3 linked regions of the Drosophila melanogaster genome follow. The protein of the gene in region 3 interacts with the protein of the main gene of each other region in a pairwise test. Each region holds a gene or a part of one and is shown on either strand. Other genes may lie near its edges.

What was found.
Region 1: the proteins of CG12857 (region 3) and AnxB11 interact in a two-hybrid assay, tested with the Drosophila melanogaster proteins (one large-scale study listed by BioGRID).
Region 2: the proteins of CG12857 (region 3) and drongo interact in a two-hybrid assay, tested with the Drosophila melanogaster proteins (one large-scale study listed by BioGRID).

Annotation. Positions count from the first base shown.
Region 1 is NC_004354.4:16,416,436-16,424,111, reverse strand, and holds AnxB11 (annexin B11), read left to right. Parts: upstream 1-1,869; 5' UTR 1,870-2,331; intron 2,332-3,719; exon of another isoform or gene 3,720-3,739; intron 3,740-3,986; exon of another isoform or gene 3,987-3,993; 5' UTR 3,994-4,050; coding exon 4,051-4,062; intron 4,063-4,341; coding exon 4,342-4,908; intron 4,909-5,062; coding exon 5,063-5,444; intron 5,445-5,522; coding exon 5,523-5,752; intron 5,753-5,821; coding exon 5,822-6,031; intron 6,032-6,087; coding exon 6,088-6,156; intron 6,157-6,216; coding exon 6,217-6,282; 3' UTR 6,283-7,008; downstream 7,009-7,676. Other genes in the region: hang (hangover), read right to left, coding at 485-832; Traf-like (TNF-receptor-associated factor-like), read right to left, coding at 7,009-7,317, 7,378-7,493, 7,549-7,676.
Region 2 is NT_033779.5:848,050-852,732, reverse strand, and holds the start of drongo (drongo), read left to right. Parts: upstream 1-1,661; 5' UTR 1,662-2,664; coding exon 2,665-2,834; intron 2,835-4,683. Other genes in the region: CG4291 (uncharacterized protein), read left to right, coding at 104-105, 162-234, 291-1,015, 1,074-1,290.
Region 3 is NT_033778.4:14,757,407-14,761,620, forward strand, and holds CG12857 (uncharacterized protein), read right to left. Parts: upstream 2,197-4,214; 5' UTR 2,151-2,196; coding exon 2,077-2,150; intron 2,020-2,076; coding exon 1,269-2,019; intron 1,214-1,268; coding exon 716-1,213; 3' UTR 501-715; downstream 1-500. Other genes in the region: Trs31 (TRAPP subunit 31), read right to left, coding at 1-144, 200-375.

The DNA.
Region 1 (7,676 bases), on a different chromosome or scaffold from region 3:
AGGAGTAGGAGGCGGAGTTTGGCTGGTTTTCGGTTCGTTCGTTTTTTTTTTTTTTGTTTGCTTGGTTTTTCGTTTTTGGATGTGGCTGGCCATCATCTTTGGTTGCTTGCACAATCCCCCTTCGATGGGTCTTGAACTCCGGGGCCCAATGCCCACTGCCCAATGGTTACTCGGCATCATCCGTAACCTCACTTTTCCATTCTGTCCAGCGAACGGGTGTGGCCACCGCCTCATCCTTCCACTGACCATTTGGGATCTGTGTGTATAACTGTTAATGGTGTCCAACCACCAGAGCACCGGAGTGCCAGAGCACCCAAGAGAGCGTTCAGTGAGAGCGGCGGACTCGGACTCGGAATCGGAGACCCGGGATGACGACACCGACGGCAGCAATGGCGATGGCAACAGCCGGATTATGTATATACCCGCATCCGCATCCGCACCCGTGCCCATGCCCACACCCATACCCATACCCATAACCACTCACCTTGATGCCGACGCAGTTGTGGATCTTGGTGGACAGCGGCTCCTTGTCGGCCGCATAGCTATTGATGATCGAGATGCATTCGGTTTGTGGGGCGATGCACAGGCGACAGCAGTTTTGTCGCGCCGACCGTTCGCTGTTGCTGTTTCTCGCCGATGTTGCTGTTGCTGCTGTTGGAATGGCCGCTTCAGGGGATGTGGTTCCCGCTGACGCAGTGGCTACCGTCGTCGTTGTCGTTCCAGGCTGTGTCGCTGTGGCCTCCAATGCTACCGATGCTGTTGTTGTTGCGACGGCTGCTGCTACTGCTGCTGTTGTTGTTGTTGTCGCTGTTGCCGCCGCAGCGTCGCACATTTTGTCGCTTTTGTATTGGTCGCCCTCTCGCTCTCTTCTTTGCCGCTTGCTTCTACTTCTCGGTTGAATTTGTTTTTGGGTTTGGTTTTTTGCACGTTTTCACTTTTGTTTCGGTCTGCGTCCGTTCGCAATCGTTCCACACCATCCACATCCACTACTACAATATACTACTATGTGCTATATTATCCGCTCTCCGACGGAAACGACCACGCCGCTCGCGTTTCCCACTTTTCGCACATTGTTCGCACTGGTTCTTTTACTTATTTCGTTGCCATTGATCCTTTGCTGATTCGCAATTTGGAGTTTCGCTCTTGGGTTTCCTTTATCTTCGCCTATTTTTCCACTTCGCTTTTGTTTGGAGGAGTCGCACTGGAAAAAAAATGACCGCTACACTGGGACTGCGAATTGCCGTGGCGTATCTGCGACTGTAAACGGGAAAATGATTTCTGGCGAAAAAAGGTCGTTTTTGGCTAGAGATGGGCACGCCGGGCGAAGCCTGGACCTTACTATCGCTATCGCTTGTGGCAGACGCATGCGTGGTCACACTTACCACTGTACGGCGGTTTTTCTTAGCGGTCGCATACCCGGTCACTCTGGGAAATAACCATCAAAGAAGCCATTTTAATTCGATAAGTCGATCTCTTTGACTTTTTATATCGCGGCTATATAGAATTTCAAAATAAAAGTATGAAAAACTCCACATAAAGATTGTACAAAGATTCTCTATAAAGTGAATCATAAAATTTACTGCATTGAACGTACTTTAGCTTAAATTTCCGTTGATTTCTTATTGGGAAATTAGGTATGTTAAGAGATTTGAATTAAGCAACTACAAAAGTGAATTCTGAAAACTGATTTCCAAATTAAAGAAAATAATGTTTTAATATTGCAGTTACTTCGCAGTTATACCGGGAACATACGAAATTGTGAATGCACCGGCTACTCGATAGCCACCGATATTCCGATTGGAAAGGGCACAGCTATCGACTAGAATCGAGTAATCAAAGTAACAACAGGTTGTTGTCCCGCCCTGGCGGTAAGTCAGTTGATAAATTCACTTCGGCATTACAAAATACCCGCAGAGTGCCAACATCGCGTTTGCCGATACTTAAAGTAATTAAAAGCGTTATAATTGTGCCGTTCTTTATGGTGTATTTGTTTTCGCGCAACATGCGTGTTCTTATTGCTGTTTAACACGTTTCCCTGAAGTGTAGACTTGTGAAATCTTTACTTTAAGTCTCTGCTCCCAAATATTCTCCAAGACAGACGTATTTGTGTGCCTGTGTGTGTATCTGCCGAGAAGAAATACATATATCGTACGACTGGTGGCGGGGTAACCAGCGATAGAAACTTTCGTTTGATATCTTCAGATACAAAGATACAATTGTATCTCGAAATGCAACTACTCACACACACGCACGCACGCACACCGGCACTGACACGTGTTGATGTGCTGCACTTGTGTGCGTTTTACCCATCTGTTGATTGCGACCTTGCTAGTAAATAATTACCATCTAATAAATTATGATACAATAGGAATAGATGCGCCCACCTATGTATCTAATTATGTAGGGGCGTGCACATAAGGCCCATTTTTATGCCTAAATGCCAATCTTCTGACCTATCTATCTATCTCATGTGCGCTTTTAATAGGTTATACTTAAATGAAAGCGATCGAACTTATACTTTTCCCGGAATCCGGGACCATTTCAAAGAATTTCAAGATAAGCGCACTCAAAGTTGTAAGCGATTATTGTCTTATTTTTAGTGGTATTTACGCAAAGTTGTTCGAATTTACTGTGCCAAAATCATAAGTAAAGAAATATATAAAAAGTACAACAACTAATTGCAAAATGAAGCATCAAAATTGTATTTCGCAAATGTTCGAAATATCTTTTCGGCTCTATGTAACTATGAATCCAAAATTCACAGGAATTTTACTTCTGATCCATTTGTAAAAGCATGACTCAATTAGTATACATAGATACTTAGATACATAGATACTTATGTATGCGCACGGGTAGACTTTGTTGACGTGGGTTTGAGTGTAAGATGAATCATCTCGGAGTGAGCAAATGCGTTCTGTTGCCTTGAAAACGGCCCTTTCCGATGATAATGGACCGCAGAAATCGCTGCGGTGGAAATAAAGCCATTGTTCTGGTTATTTGCGCTGCGAGGTGCCATTGAAGTCTTTTCCAAAACGAATTTAACTTAATTTTTTGGTTAAAAATGTATAAAGAGTGGGACAGAACAGACCGTACATGCAGTTGTTTATGTTTATCAATTGAAAAGTTTTCAAGAAAGGCTTTGCAAATGACGAAACAATTGGAAAACAAACCCAAAGCCTTTGTGCAAATAGTTTAATATATTATATTCAGGCCTCACATTTGTTTCCATACCCATTAAGTCAGGAGGCGTCCCTCTGTCTGAAGCAAAAAATTATAAATTACAAGTAACACGCATGACCCGCAGCTATATTGCGCATATATAATATAAGGTAAAAGGGAAAACACAACGTTTATATATATGTATATATATGTATATATATATATATATATGTAGATATGAAGTACCTTGTGGGCCACAAATGGGTGTAGCATACATGTGTACATGTGGCGAAAGTCTACATTGGCGACATTTCAGTGGAACCATTATAAGGTCTCTTGGGACAGTTTACTATATCGCCGAAATTAATTATTTTATTTTAATGTTTTTGCATATTTCATATATCCATATCAGTTGATTTATTTTTTTGGGAAGTTCCCTCTCTAAGCAAAACCGGATGCCTTTATCCCATATATGACGCAAATTCATATTACTCTTAATTGCTTAAATTATAAGGCATACCCTGTAATAGTGTTCTTATCTAATAGCGCAATCCCCACTCCAATTTGATTGGTTTCCAATGTATGTATACTCAAATACAAGTTAGACCTATTTTATAACTTAAAGTTTGATTTGTACATTAGCACGTTTTGTTGCGTAGTGTAATCTAATGTTTCGGTTCAAAGTCGCTTGTACCTTCTATTTGAGCACCAATCTTTAACATGATGTTAGATCAGCTGATTAAACATTAAAACTATATGTACATTGTACTTGTGCATGTGTGTGAATATTTTCAATTTAACGAAACGCATAATTCCTATTTTGCTCTTTTCCAGTACTGAATCTCAATCACCGGAAATTATCCACAGAATCTCCATAGAACCTCCCTCAAAATGTATCCCTTCGTAAGTTTTGAATGCACATCCTGTAGATTTTAGTTATAAAAGTATCAGCATTAATAAGTGCCTTGGTTCTTAAATATCATAACATATTCACAATATATTTTATAAATAAGTTTGGTATAACATATTTTTTTGGGTATAAAACTATAATAATTTATTCGGGTGAGTTCTTTCGTTTAGTCTGATTCATTTTTCTAAGAGATAGATGTCATTCTTGTGAGCTCTGTGTTTAATTCAGCGCCATGGAGTCAACTTGAATTGTACATTTTCTGACTTTTATAGGGTTCTGGAATGCCATCGCACCCCCCTACCTCCACTAACCACCACGAGCCGCCACGGGCGCCCTTTGGAGCTGGTTGGGTGCCACCGATGCAGCAAAACTCGCCATACCCACCACCCTCCCAGCCACACCCACACTCACAGCCATCGTCCCAAATGCATCCTCAGCAGCATCAGCAATATCCAGGCGGAGCTCCAGCTCCTTATCCACCAATGTCGGCACCGTACCCGTCCGCCGCCCCATCCTATCCACCATATCCCACCTCGAATCCTTACCCGGCACAATACGCTCCTCCAGCGCACAATCATTATCAGCAGCCATCGGTGTCGAACAGTCCCTATCCCGCGGATCGTGGATACACACCGGCCATGACAGCCGGATATGATGCGGGCTATGGCTACGGAAACGGACAAGGACATGGACAAGGACATGGACATGGGCAAGGACATGGGCACGGACATGGGCAAGGACATGAATATGGGCATGGATATGGGCAGGGCTATGGGCATGGACAGGGGCATGGGAATGGTCAGGGGCACGCGCATCGGTCACTCCCAGCTCACAGAGAGGTTGGTCATCAAATTTGGGGACTCACGTCCACACTAACCGCACTTCCCCATCCTCAGTCGAATTTGTTCCAGGGCGGGTCTAAAACAATACATGTTCATCATGCCCATCAGATCTGAGCTCGTTTTCAGTGACTGTTTTGACTGTTCTTTTCAGGGAACTCCCACGGTGGTGCCTGCCGCAAACTTCGATGCCGTCAAGGATGCTCACGACTTGCGCAAGGCCATGAAGGGCTTTGGAACAGATGAGGACGCTCTGATTAACATCATCTGTCGGCGATCCAACGAGCAGCGCCAGGAGATCCAGCGCCAGTTCAAGACGCACTTCGGCAAGGACCTCATCGAGGACATCAAGTCGGAGACGAGCGGCAACTTTGAGAAACTCCTCGTCGGCCTGCTGCGTCCCATCGTGGACTACTACTGCGCCGAGCTAAACGATGCCATGGCTGGCCTGGGCACCGACGAGGAGGTCCTCATCGAGATCCTCTGCACGCTGTCCAACATGGAGATCAATACGATCAAAAACCAGTACTTACGATGTAGGTCGTAATCTATTTGGCTTAGCCTTTTCTCTTTGTTCTAATATGGATTTTGTTTCTGCCAATCGTGTATATTAGTGTACGGCGCCCATTTGGAGTCTGAACTAAAGTCGGAGACGTCGGGCAACTTTAAGCGGCTGCTTACCTCCTTGTGCACGGCGGCGCGGGATGAGAGTGGTCGCGTGGATCCCGTGGCGGCCAAGAACGATGCTAGGGAGCTACTGAAAGCCGGCGAACTGCGCGTCGGCACCGATGAGAGCATGTTCAACATGATCCTCTGCCAGAGGAACTATCAGCAATTGAAACTGGTATGCTGCTTGATACTTGAGTACTTGTGTGTACAATTGAAACTCCAACATAATCATACCTAACCGCAGATATTCCAAGAGTACGAGGGCATGACTGGCCACTCGCTGGAGAAGGCGATCAAGAAGGAGTTCTCCGGCGATGTGATGGAGGGCCTGATTGCCATCTACAGGTGCGTCACCAACAAGGCCGAATACTTCGCTTCGCGCCTGCACAAGGCGATGGCCGGAATTGGCACCAATGACACCCAGTTGATCCGTGTGATCATCACGCGCAGCGAGGTAAGTACATCTATATATAATATCATTCAACCCTAAAATGTTGCAACGTTTTTCAGATTGATATGACGGACATTAAGGTAGCGTTCGAACGTCTGTACGGCAAGTCCCTCAAGAGCTGGATCAAGGTAAGATATATATATCTATCTATATCTATATTCTATAATCATATAAAATCCTACTTGCAGGGCGATACTTCGGGCCACTACAAGCACGCCCTTTATGCCCTGGTGGGTGAACAGCGCTCCTCTTAAGAATCTCCGCATATACATATATATGTATTATTCAAACCAAATCCGACGTGAAATCAATTATTCGAATATGTATTATCTCTTCTATGTATTCGTTCATTTAAATGCATACAACATACAAGAACACGCCAACGAAGCCAGACAATTATGATCCACAACGTAGACTATAAGTGCACACAAATAATACCTGAACGGGATCAGACATTTGATACCTCTTTCAAAGAAATGAACATGGGAACCGACAGTTGACAAGTGTTGAAGTTGTATTTTATTAAAAGACCTTTGTATTTAAATGCGTTCGTAAAGACAAATAATATGGAAGTTCCTCTCAAAAATCGCTTGTTAATTTGCTCGAAATGAAAAACCAAAAAATGAAAGAGTTGCTTATATCTTGACAAAGTGACCAGGGAAATGTTGCAATAAAAGCTATGCTTTCTAACTACCGACTTCGTCTCGACAGTGCCTCAATGTGACTATTGCCTAATTTGAAAAAAAGCATTTAAAACTGCAATGACATTTAAAACTACAATATACGCATATTGAAACGATGAATCGATTCGTATGCACTTATACACTATATATGTACACATACTCGTGTTTGTAAGCGGGTTTTTAACTTCCAGTTCGCTCTCAATGGAATAAATTATGTTTTATGTATGTGACAATCCGCAATTGGATTTTTTTTTTCTTATCGCTCCTGGTGGGTGGGATAGCGATGCTGCATGGGTTTTATTTTAGAACTCGAACCTCGATGAACATGGAATCGTTGCGAAGATAGTTGCGACTGGTGATTACCTTGTGTGGTATATGGAAGTACTGGTTGCTTTGGATAAAATCATCGCTCTTCTTGCGCACAAAGATGGTCTTCACATAATCCTCGGCATCTGCCACATTCGTGCACTGATCCCGGATGATGATCTCGGCCTGAAGGCGGCATGGCCAGGCCAGAAGGGGATCGTACTCTCCGGATAGAACGTTCAAGCAGGCGATCATGTTCCTGCCCTTCCAGGTGCCCTTGCCATTCAAGTATATATCCAGCTAGTAATGGGGTATACATATATAAATGGCATATCCAACCAAGATCCAACCTCAACTCACCCGTAGAGCATAGCCAAAGGCTTTATTGGAGAACATGGCGCTATGGAGGATGGTGTCGTACTGCTTGGACTCTTCCAGTTTTTTCGAGTAATCCTTGATGCGCCAAATCAAGTGTCCTGTACGACCAGATATTATATATTTAAATTACTATATTGAACCAACAATATGTACCCCTTATATTCTGGACACTGGCAATCCGCTGCTGCATGGCCATTTGGGTCTCCAAATCCGATATATTCTGCATGGTCTGGTGAAGTGCTCGATCCAATTTATCGCAACGTTCCTCCGTTTCGCACACA
Region 2 (4,683 bases), on a different chromosome or scaffold from region 3:
CCATTCGCGACTGGGTGGCAACTCCCGCACATTGTTTTCATTTGCGATTGCAAACAAAATTTAATATTACTTGTATTCGAAACAATTAAGCTGAGAAATCATCATGTAAGTCTGCGTTATTATCCTCCGGCTTTGCCATAGCTAACTCTCGATTCCAACAGGACGGAGTACTGGAAATCAAACGAGCGCAAGTTCTGCGACTTCTGCAAATGCTGGCTGAGCGACAACAAGGCGGTGAGTCCATAGAATAAACTCGCTTTTCGGCACTCTAATGACCCCTAATCCCGCAGAGCGTCGCCTTCCACGAGAGTGGCAAGCGGCACAAGATGAATGTGGCCAAGCGGATCACGGACATCAGTCGCAACAGCGAGAAATCGGAGCGGGAGCGCCAGAAAATGGACGCGGAGATCCGCAAGATGGAGGAGGCGGCCATGAAGTCGTACGCACAGGATGTCCATTCGCGCGGTGACATGACCGCCAGGTCCATTAACACGGTAATGAGGGCCACCGCCACTGCTGCCGCCTCAGGCGGAGCTCACTCCTTCGCCGGAAGATCACGCCAAGTGGACCCCATGCGCCTGGAAGGATTGTCCGACGAAGAAGAAGACCAGAGGCGGGTGGCTCCCGGCAAGGTAACAAGCGACGCAGCCGTGCCCGAGGCATCCCTCTGGGTGGAGGGCAAGTCGGACGAGGGACACACCTACTATTGGAACGTGAAGACCAATGAATCCGTGTGGAAGCCGCCGAAAGAGGGCTATCTGTCCTACGAGGAGTACGAGCGCATCAACCAGCTGGCCATCGACCAGCAGCAGATCTCCCAGGCCGAGGAATCGCTGAAATTCCGCGCCAATGTCGACGAGGAAGTGGCGAGGGTGAACCGAGAGAAGATGAAAGCCTTCCGCAGGACGGACAATCCCAAGGAAAAGAAGCAGAAGGAGGAGAGGCGTCAGACATTCAAAACGGAGGAAGAGGCGGCCACCAAAGAGATTGGACAGTGGCAAACTGTGGAAGTGAAGTAGGGCCTTCCTACTAGGTTCAAATGCATTTACTGATAAATTTATGGATTTTTGTAGAGCACCTGAGCAGCCCATCGACTGGCAGCTACCCAAAACGGATTACTACAGTGCTGCGCCCGTGGTTTCCGCCTCGAGTGAACCAGAACCTCCAGTCAAGAAGTTCAAGGAAAAGACGATTGGCGGTCTGGATGAGGAGATAGCCGCCACTGCGCCCGCCACGTTCAAGCGGAAATTCATCAGGAAGGGAAACAGCCGCCAGCGCGCCGAGGATTAAGAAGTACTCCATGTGCTTATGTGCATATTTCACCTACTAGTTAGGTTTAGGCATAGGAAATGTTTAGGTTTTTAAGTGTTTGCTTATACCAATTAAAAAGTGAGATGCGTTTAACTAATATTAGATTAAACATAGCTATTGTAGAATTATTATTATCTTTAGTCGACTTGCATTCAATAAATATTTCCCAACATTTTAAATAGTAATATGTTTTTTAAAAAGTTTTAAATTTCGATAACAGTTATCGAATTAGGTTCAATCGGTGTGTGTCTGTGCTTTAGTTGCGGCATATTTAGGTCTTAGAGCTCCGTCCAATTTTAGTGCATTTCCAGCGGCAACACGAGGTATGTTTCTCCCGTCCGCCAACGGTCACTCTGCTGCTGTTGTTGTAGGCGAGCGGTCGGAATTTGCGTCGGAATTGTGTTGAGTCGAGTCGCGCTATTTTGTTTCGAGTGCGCTGTGCTGTTTGGTTTCGTTCCGTTTCGTTTCGCTGTTCGTTTTCCACTCGTCTTCGAATCCGCACTGCAAACAAACAAGGAGAAGGGGAAGCAGCAAAAGTGGCGAGTGCATTCGCAGCGTCGAAATTTCAATTGAAATCTGAAATCTGTGTGGCAATTGCAGCGGCACTCGGTGTAAATAGATTGAATTGAAGCGAAATTCTGCGAGTCGAAGAAGTGAAAAGTAAACAATAACACGGGCAATCGGAAAAGTGGTTTTCGATAAATCGCACCGCACACACACACCTGTCAGTGTGAGTGTCAAAGTGAGTGTGTGAGTGTGCGTCGAAGGAGAGGAAAGGTCAAGCCAAAAATTGCGTAAAGAAAAGGAAAGGAAAGCTTAGAAGAGGGGAAGGGGAATTACGTCAGTTTCGCATTCCCGATAAAAATTTTTGATTCCCTAAACGATCCTGATAGCCAGCCATTACGATAGGCAAAAAACGATAACAGCGGAAATTTACGTCAATTTGGAGCAGAAAGTAAACGATACCAATTCCCGAAAGAATTCAAAAAATCAGGCAAGATTCAGTTCGTGTACGCTTACAACAGCTCCGCGCCCCACGCCGCCTCCTCCTACCGCACCGCCGTCGCCCCCTTTGCGCCCTACGCGGCCGAGCGGTCCACCCACCACCACCCACTCCCGCCCCCCGAGGAGCGGCTGCCCTCGGACACCGAGCAGCTAGCTGGATCCGACGAGGATCGGGCTCAGAGCCACGAAGCGGAAGCGGAGGAATCCGAGGAGGAGCGCGCAGGTAGCGGACCCTCCGTCAGGCCGCTCATCGCAGCAGCAGGAGCAACAACAACGACAACGTCGACGTCAGTAGTACCGGAAGCGGTACAAAGGGCGGCGGCCAAGGGAGCGACAGAGACGGCGACAATGGCGGTGGTGCGCAAGAAACAGGACGACAAGTACCTGCTCGCCCTGCGGGAACTAGTGGCCAGCGGGACGGGGAGCAATCGGCAGTGCTTCGACTGCGGCCAAAAAGGACCAACCTACGTGAACATGACCATCGGATCCTTTGTCTGCACCCGCTGCTCCGGAGTCCTGTAAGTATTTGCCTTCTTGTTGTTGTTTTCTAGTCTGGGATAATGTAGGGTAGATCCAGGAATTAGGCATAAGTCGCCTGCTAGGTGACCTTTGTTATGAGAATGTAACTGTAACTTGGCTATTCATATTTTAGTTATTTCTTTGGTTGTCTCTTTGAGTTTACCAGGTATTCAAGATACCTCTGGAAAATATTTCAAACAATTTCCGATGCACAGATTGATCTAGCTTGAGATTTGTAGAATAAGGATGGTGGGTTATGAACTGACAAATCTCTTAAAATCTTCCACAAGAAGAATCCAGATATACGACATTTATGGTTATGGCTTTCTTGAATGGCTTTTGGTTGAATTCACACATGTTTTTTATCAAAAAGCTGGCTACCTATATACATATTCTGATAACTGCCAAATGGGCTACCCCCACTGCGTTTAGGAGTCATATAAAATATTGCCTTGAGTGTTTCCAAAAATAGAAATGCAAATTGAGAGCTATCAACGTCGATCCGTGGACCTTTCTTGGTCTCCCGTGTTATCTTGACTTGAACCCAGCCAATTTGAACTCGCCTGACGTCCATTTGGGATCTGTGCCCGAGTGGAGTGACCGATAATTTGCGATCGATCGATGCAATGTCCGATCCCGCCCCCCATTATTATTTCGTATTGTGTGTGAAAGCGAAAGCAATTCCCCAACAATTTCGAACAATTTCGCACAATTTGGCTTCCTTTCCTTTTTGAATGCAAATGCAAATCGAAGACAAAACTTTCAATTGCGCGACATCGCGGCGAACGAAATTGTTTTGTCTTCGCCGGCGTCGCTTTCTATTCGTGTTTTTCCGTGGGGAGACGTTTTCGAGAGCCGCCCACCTGGCGGTTGAGTTGTGGGTGTCCTTGGCGCCCCTCAGTTTATTTTTTATTTTTGCCCCTCTAAGTAATTTGGCAAATTGGCTTTGATTTGTGAGCACTATGGCCAAATTGGGGTCATATATGTATTACCACTCCGCCGACACTGCATTTCATTTGATTTACGCATTTCCGGATCAAGCACATTACATGATTGCTCTTAAACTTCCGCTTGGCCCAGGTCCAGAAGCCCAGTCTCCCACGATTCGTGTGCCCCAGATTGTGGCCTCTCAATTGGACAGCATGCGGGTTTCTCCGCTGAGTTATCTCTATCATCGGAACCAGGTTGAAAAGTAGCCAACTGCAATGCGTTCGCCCTGCTGCACTCTGCAGTCCCCAACTCTTGTTTCGATGACTCATTGCCCATTCCTCAGTCTTCGGTGTGCGGTGCTCAATCCTCAATCCTTAGTCCTCAAACCTTGTTGCCAACTGCCAAGGGAAACAAATGTTGGCATGTAAATGAAAAGCCACATAAATGCCGGGGACACCAAGCGATTGCACTGCGAGAAAGGGTTAATGGTTAATTGTAACAAACAATTGGTCCTGTTAGTCGGATACTTCTGCGGTTTTTCAGTTACTAGTCTAACGACGTGCCACGTTTCTGCCGGTGTAGCCAAAAAGGGGTGTGGAAAGGTACTGCAGCAAATGGGGGACTCGGCCGAGGAAGGGGGCGTGGCAGGGGCGACAGCAGGCGACAACGAACTTCCTGGCTGAAAATGAGACTGGAACGTCGACTGCGACAAGGGAGCGAGTGCAGGGAATACCAAATGAAACCAACTCCTCCGACTCACGAAGAAATGGCTGTGCATGTTCGGCCCGCCTTTGGATATTGGAATCCGCTGCAGACCGGCCGGTCACTTGGAGCGCTTAATGGAGGAAGCGGTTCAGGAATGAGAATGGAACTGGCAATGGTAGTGGGTTTCAGAATGGGAATGTCCGCGGTGGCGCG
Region 3 (4,214 bases):
TCTTTGCCAAAGAGATTCTTCCACACCGTGGTCTTAACAAAGAGAAGCATTTGGGTTAGTTTTGTTTCTCGCTTGGAGCTGCGCTCCCTCACGAAATACAGGTCGATTATGCGGGTGCCTACATCTTGACCCAGATCGTGGAGTCTGAAAACGCCTTGGAATTAACGAATTAATCGCAAAAACTTAGAGAAACTCCCACCTTGTTTGCAATTCTGGGACTGTAAACACTCGGCTCTGCGAGTACTGGACGATTTCGCTGAAAAGCAGCGCCACAATGCTCTGGGAAACCTCCGTTTTGCCCTTGGATAGTGGTCTGTCTAGGATGTTGCTGCGCGGACGCATCGAGGATATTTTTAGGGCCTCCAGTTTTTCCATTTTCCTGATAAATGTATCAAATTATTTTCCAAAACAATGCAAAGTGTGCACGCCACCCTATCTGCCCGAAATGCCAAAGAGCGTTGCAGAAATGGTCACACTTAAAGTTGCGACAATAATACAATAAATATTAATTATATTTATTAAACCACTTGCTTTTTTTTTAAAATGTTGATGTACATTTTAAAAAATATATTATTAAAAATATGCTGATTTGTTTCATAAATATCAAATGAACGAAGTGTACAATGTATAACAGAAAAGTGTGCCAAGTTGTTATACTAGCACAAACTGAAGCCCGCAAATTTGAATTCTAGTCGTTACTATTCAAACTCAATAGTTAATCGGCAACAAAATCGTCCGATTTTATCTTCCTTGTGCTGCAACAGTCAATCTTTTTACTCGGGTCCTGAAATATCACCTGAGACCAGTGATCTTTGGAGCATTGTTGTAATTCCGAAAGGTAATCCTCGAAGTGTTTGAAACGAATTTCCCGGGTATTGGGACAACCGACGCCGTGATAATAGCTGCACAAGCTATCGCATATCCAGTTTCGCTGTCCGGAATCACTTGCGTATTCCTCACTCTGTGCGTCATTGCCCTCCAAGGCATCCTCGTACATGCGCGACGTTATTCTCGATATGGATTCGTCGATCTTGTACTCCACCTCCGGGTTGAAAATCAGCTTCATCACCAACGGGTGATCCTCCTCCCGTCGCGCATATAGTAGATACCACAATGGCATCAGGTTGAATCGAATACAGGACATTAAACGACGTACGTGCACTTTCCTCTTGTTCCAATCGTGACCCAGCCATCGAACAGCTATAAAGAAAACCTAAGAAAAACATATAAAATGCAATAATAACTATAAATATTATGTTGAACACCACCTCAATCTCGGTGTTCACACAGATTTGATCGGATTCGAGCAAAAAAATCAGATGGGAGGTCGGCAGATCGAGGAAATCCCTGGTGGCCACAAAGGTGAGCAGAAACTTGCGGATCCTAGTCAGCATCAAATTGCGAACTACATCCATGGCGGGATTGTCCTTCGACTCGACGTATAGGACACATGCCGTATCCTCGTTGTAGTATTCCTCATCATCGAAATATTTCCAACAATGCGCCGCCAGACCAGAGATCCTCAAATAAGTGGCGGCCACATAGACCTCCACAATGTGAGCCAGCTCCAGGACGGGCTCATCGCTCAGCATCCATTTGTAGGAGAGCATAAAGGCCTTCTGGGACACGATCTTCTCGGGCAGGGTGACCAGCAGCGGAATCATCTCCAGTTCACTAAAGAAGCGAGAGTACACCTGCAGCACGATGAAGTGGCAATTGAAGTACATATTGTTGATTTCTATCTGCACAGTGGTCTTCAGATGGGACTCGAACATGTAGCGCAGCACCGTGGCCAGCCGATCCTTGCAAGGCTGCTCCAGTTTCAGCCAGCCATCGGCATCCTCGAAATTATGACCGAACTCGAAGAGGGAGCGATTCAGAGACGTGGTCTCCTCGACACCATTCTTTGATATCTTACTGAACACTCTATGCATTTCGAGATCCTCCGCCTTCGATACGAATCTCGCAATGGAGTTTATTTCATCATTGGAGGATAACTTCTCGGCACTAAGCTTGGGACTGCAAGGAGAAGGAAAATATTTTAAGATTACTCCGACTGGTTTAAGATTAACTCACTTGGTAAATAAAACGCTGCAGGTGAGTTCCTGCCTCTCGCATTTCTGTCCGTTCTGCCTCATTAGCTCCTCCATTTCGAAATTTGGTTTTCTTGTTTTGGATTTTTGACTGCACGGCTACTGTGTTTTTAAGTGTTTTAAAAAAAAAACACACTCGTAGCTTTCACATTGTTTATTAAATTGTGTTTTATTGTTGGTATTCTTTTGTTCACATTTTCAAATACATTTATATGAATAAATATATCATTTATATTACTATTTTCTTTATCCTTTTCTGCAATGACACGTTTCTTTTCAATTTAATATGAGTATATGCGGCTATTTTAACTATTTTTTCTGATTTCGATGTGAAACAATAAGGGTAAGAAAATGATACAAATTGCAAAAGGTGATATTTTATTTTAGCTAAAGTAATAATTCCGCCTTTTGATCTAGTTTTATTGTGTGTTTGAGGACGATTGCAATAATAGTTAGCTATTTTTCCATTGTGTAAGCGTGTAAATTAGAGAGTAATATAAAACGTAATTGTAAATTATAGATACATATTTAACATTTTGTACTTCTTGTTGTTGAGTGTTTTGTTTCCGTTTCCGTTTCTGTTTGATCCGTTCACGGTTCATCTTGCCTTATATTTTCAAAAATTTGCATTCCATTGATGTCCGTTTTCAGATCTTGGCTTGTATTTTCTGAGGTTTGTATCAATGTGTTTGCTGAATTTTGCACATTTAATAACAATTGCCGTATTTAGTTAATTTTTACAATAATAATGTTGCTTTTTAATGTGTTTTTTTTTTGCACAACCTTTGCTTATTTTTAATAAATATGCATTTTGTTTTTTAGTTTTCGTGTGAATTTCTTTCTTTCATGGGTTTTCTCACCGACTTAGTACAACAATAATTATATAGTAAGAAATAAATTAATGTTTTTTTTTTTATTATTTTTATATATATATATAGCTGCATATATGAGTTTGTTGACTTTTTGAAAACACTTAAATTGTTTGTTTTTTGTTTTTGTTTTATTTTTACCCCTTTGCTCAAATGCCTCCTCTTTCGGCCATTTTATAAACGGCCCAAAGTTGTTGGCATTTCAATAAAAATTACAAATTGCTTCGCATTCTAGAATTATTTAGTTGCAAAAGATTTCCAATCGAGCAATGCTGCGCTCTTTGTTTGTCCATCGACTCTCTAATTCTAATTGGTTTCTCATTCTATTTCAACGTCTGAACAAAAGATTTTGGAAAACAAACGTTTTGAGTTTGGGGCAAAAGGAATATTTTGAATCTTCATGAGCCCTAAGAAGAGACAAAAACATCCTTTTTATAAGGCAACCGAATGGGTACATAGTTCTGAACTAAAGCACATTTAAGTAACAATTGCCGAGCATAGCGAACGCACAAAACTTGAGCATTGCCGCAGACTCTTTTGCTAGAGGAGTAAATCGAATACAATTTGTAATTCTTCTTCAGGTTCGGAGAAGAACGGCTCGACAGCCGTGTCGTCGTCGTCCACTAATTCTTCTGCCGAGTTGTTGCGTGTCTCGATTTTTTTTTTTTTATTCATTTGCGCATCAGGTTGCCGTTTGTTTGAACTTTTCGTGTGAGTTTTTGAGCGCGTGACATTGATTAACAAATTGGAATCGCGCAGAGAAAATCGCATTTAAATATATTTAGTTCTCGTTTCGCCTTTGCCTTCGCCTTGGCCTTTTAATACTGTTCTCCAATTTCGAATTGTAAACAAGCAAGTGTAAAATAGCAAAAAACCCTAAACAACTAAAACTAAAACAATCATTGTATAATATTTTGATTTTTCAAAAAAATGTGTGTTCAGTTACGAATAAAAACAAATAGCCCGTTTTTACAAAACTATAATTAAGCGAGAGCACTAAACATAAGTTACAATTTTAAAAGTATATTAAAATTAGATACATAATCCTTCCTGCTCTTTTGTATATACAATTAATTATGGCAATTCAAATGGAGTATACCGAAATGATACTAAAATCGAACCCCAGACCCATTTTGGCAAACTGATTTTCAAGCTGAATTGCTTCTTACGCATTCTTCTTTCACCCGATTTGAAAAAGCTGTGCTTTTGCATCGACACGATTTTTTCATCTCAACAGTGTGAAAACATTGTT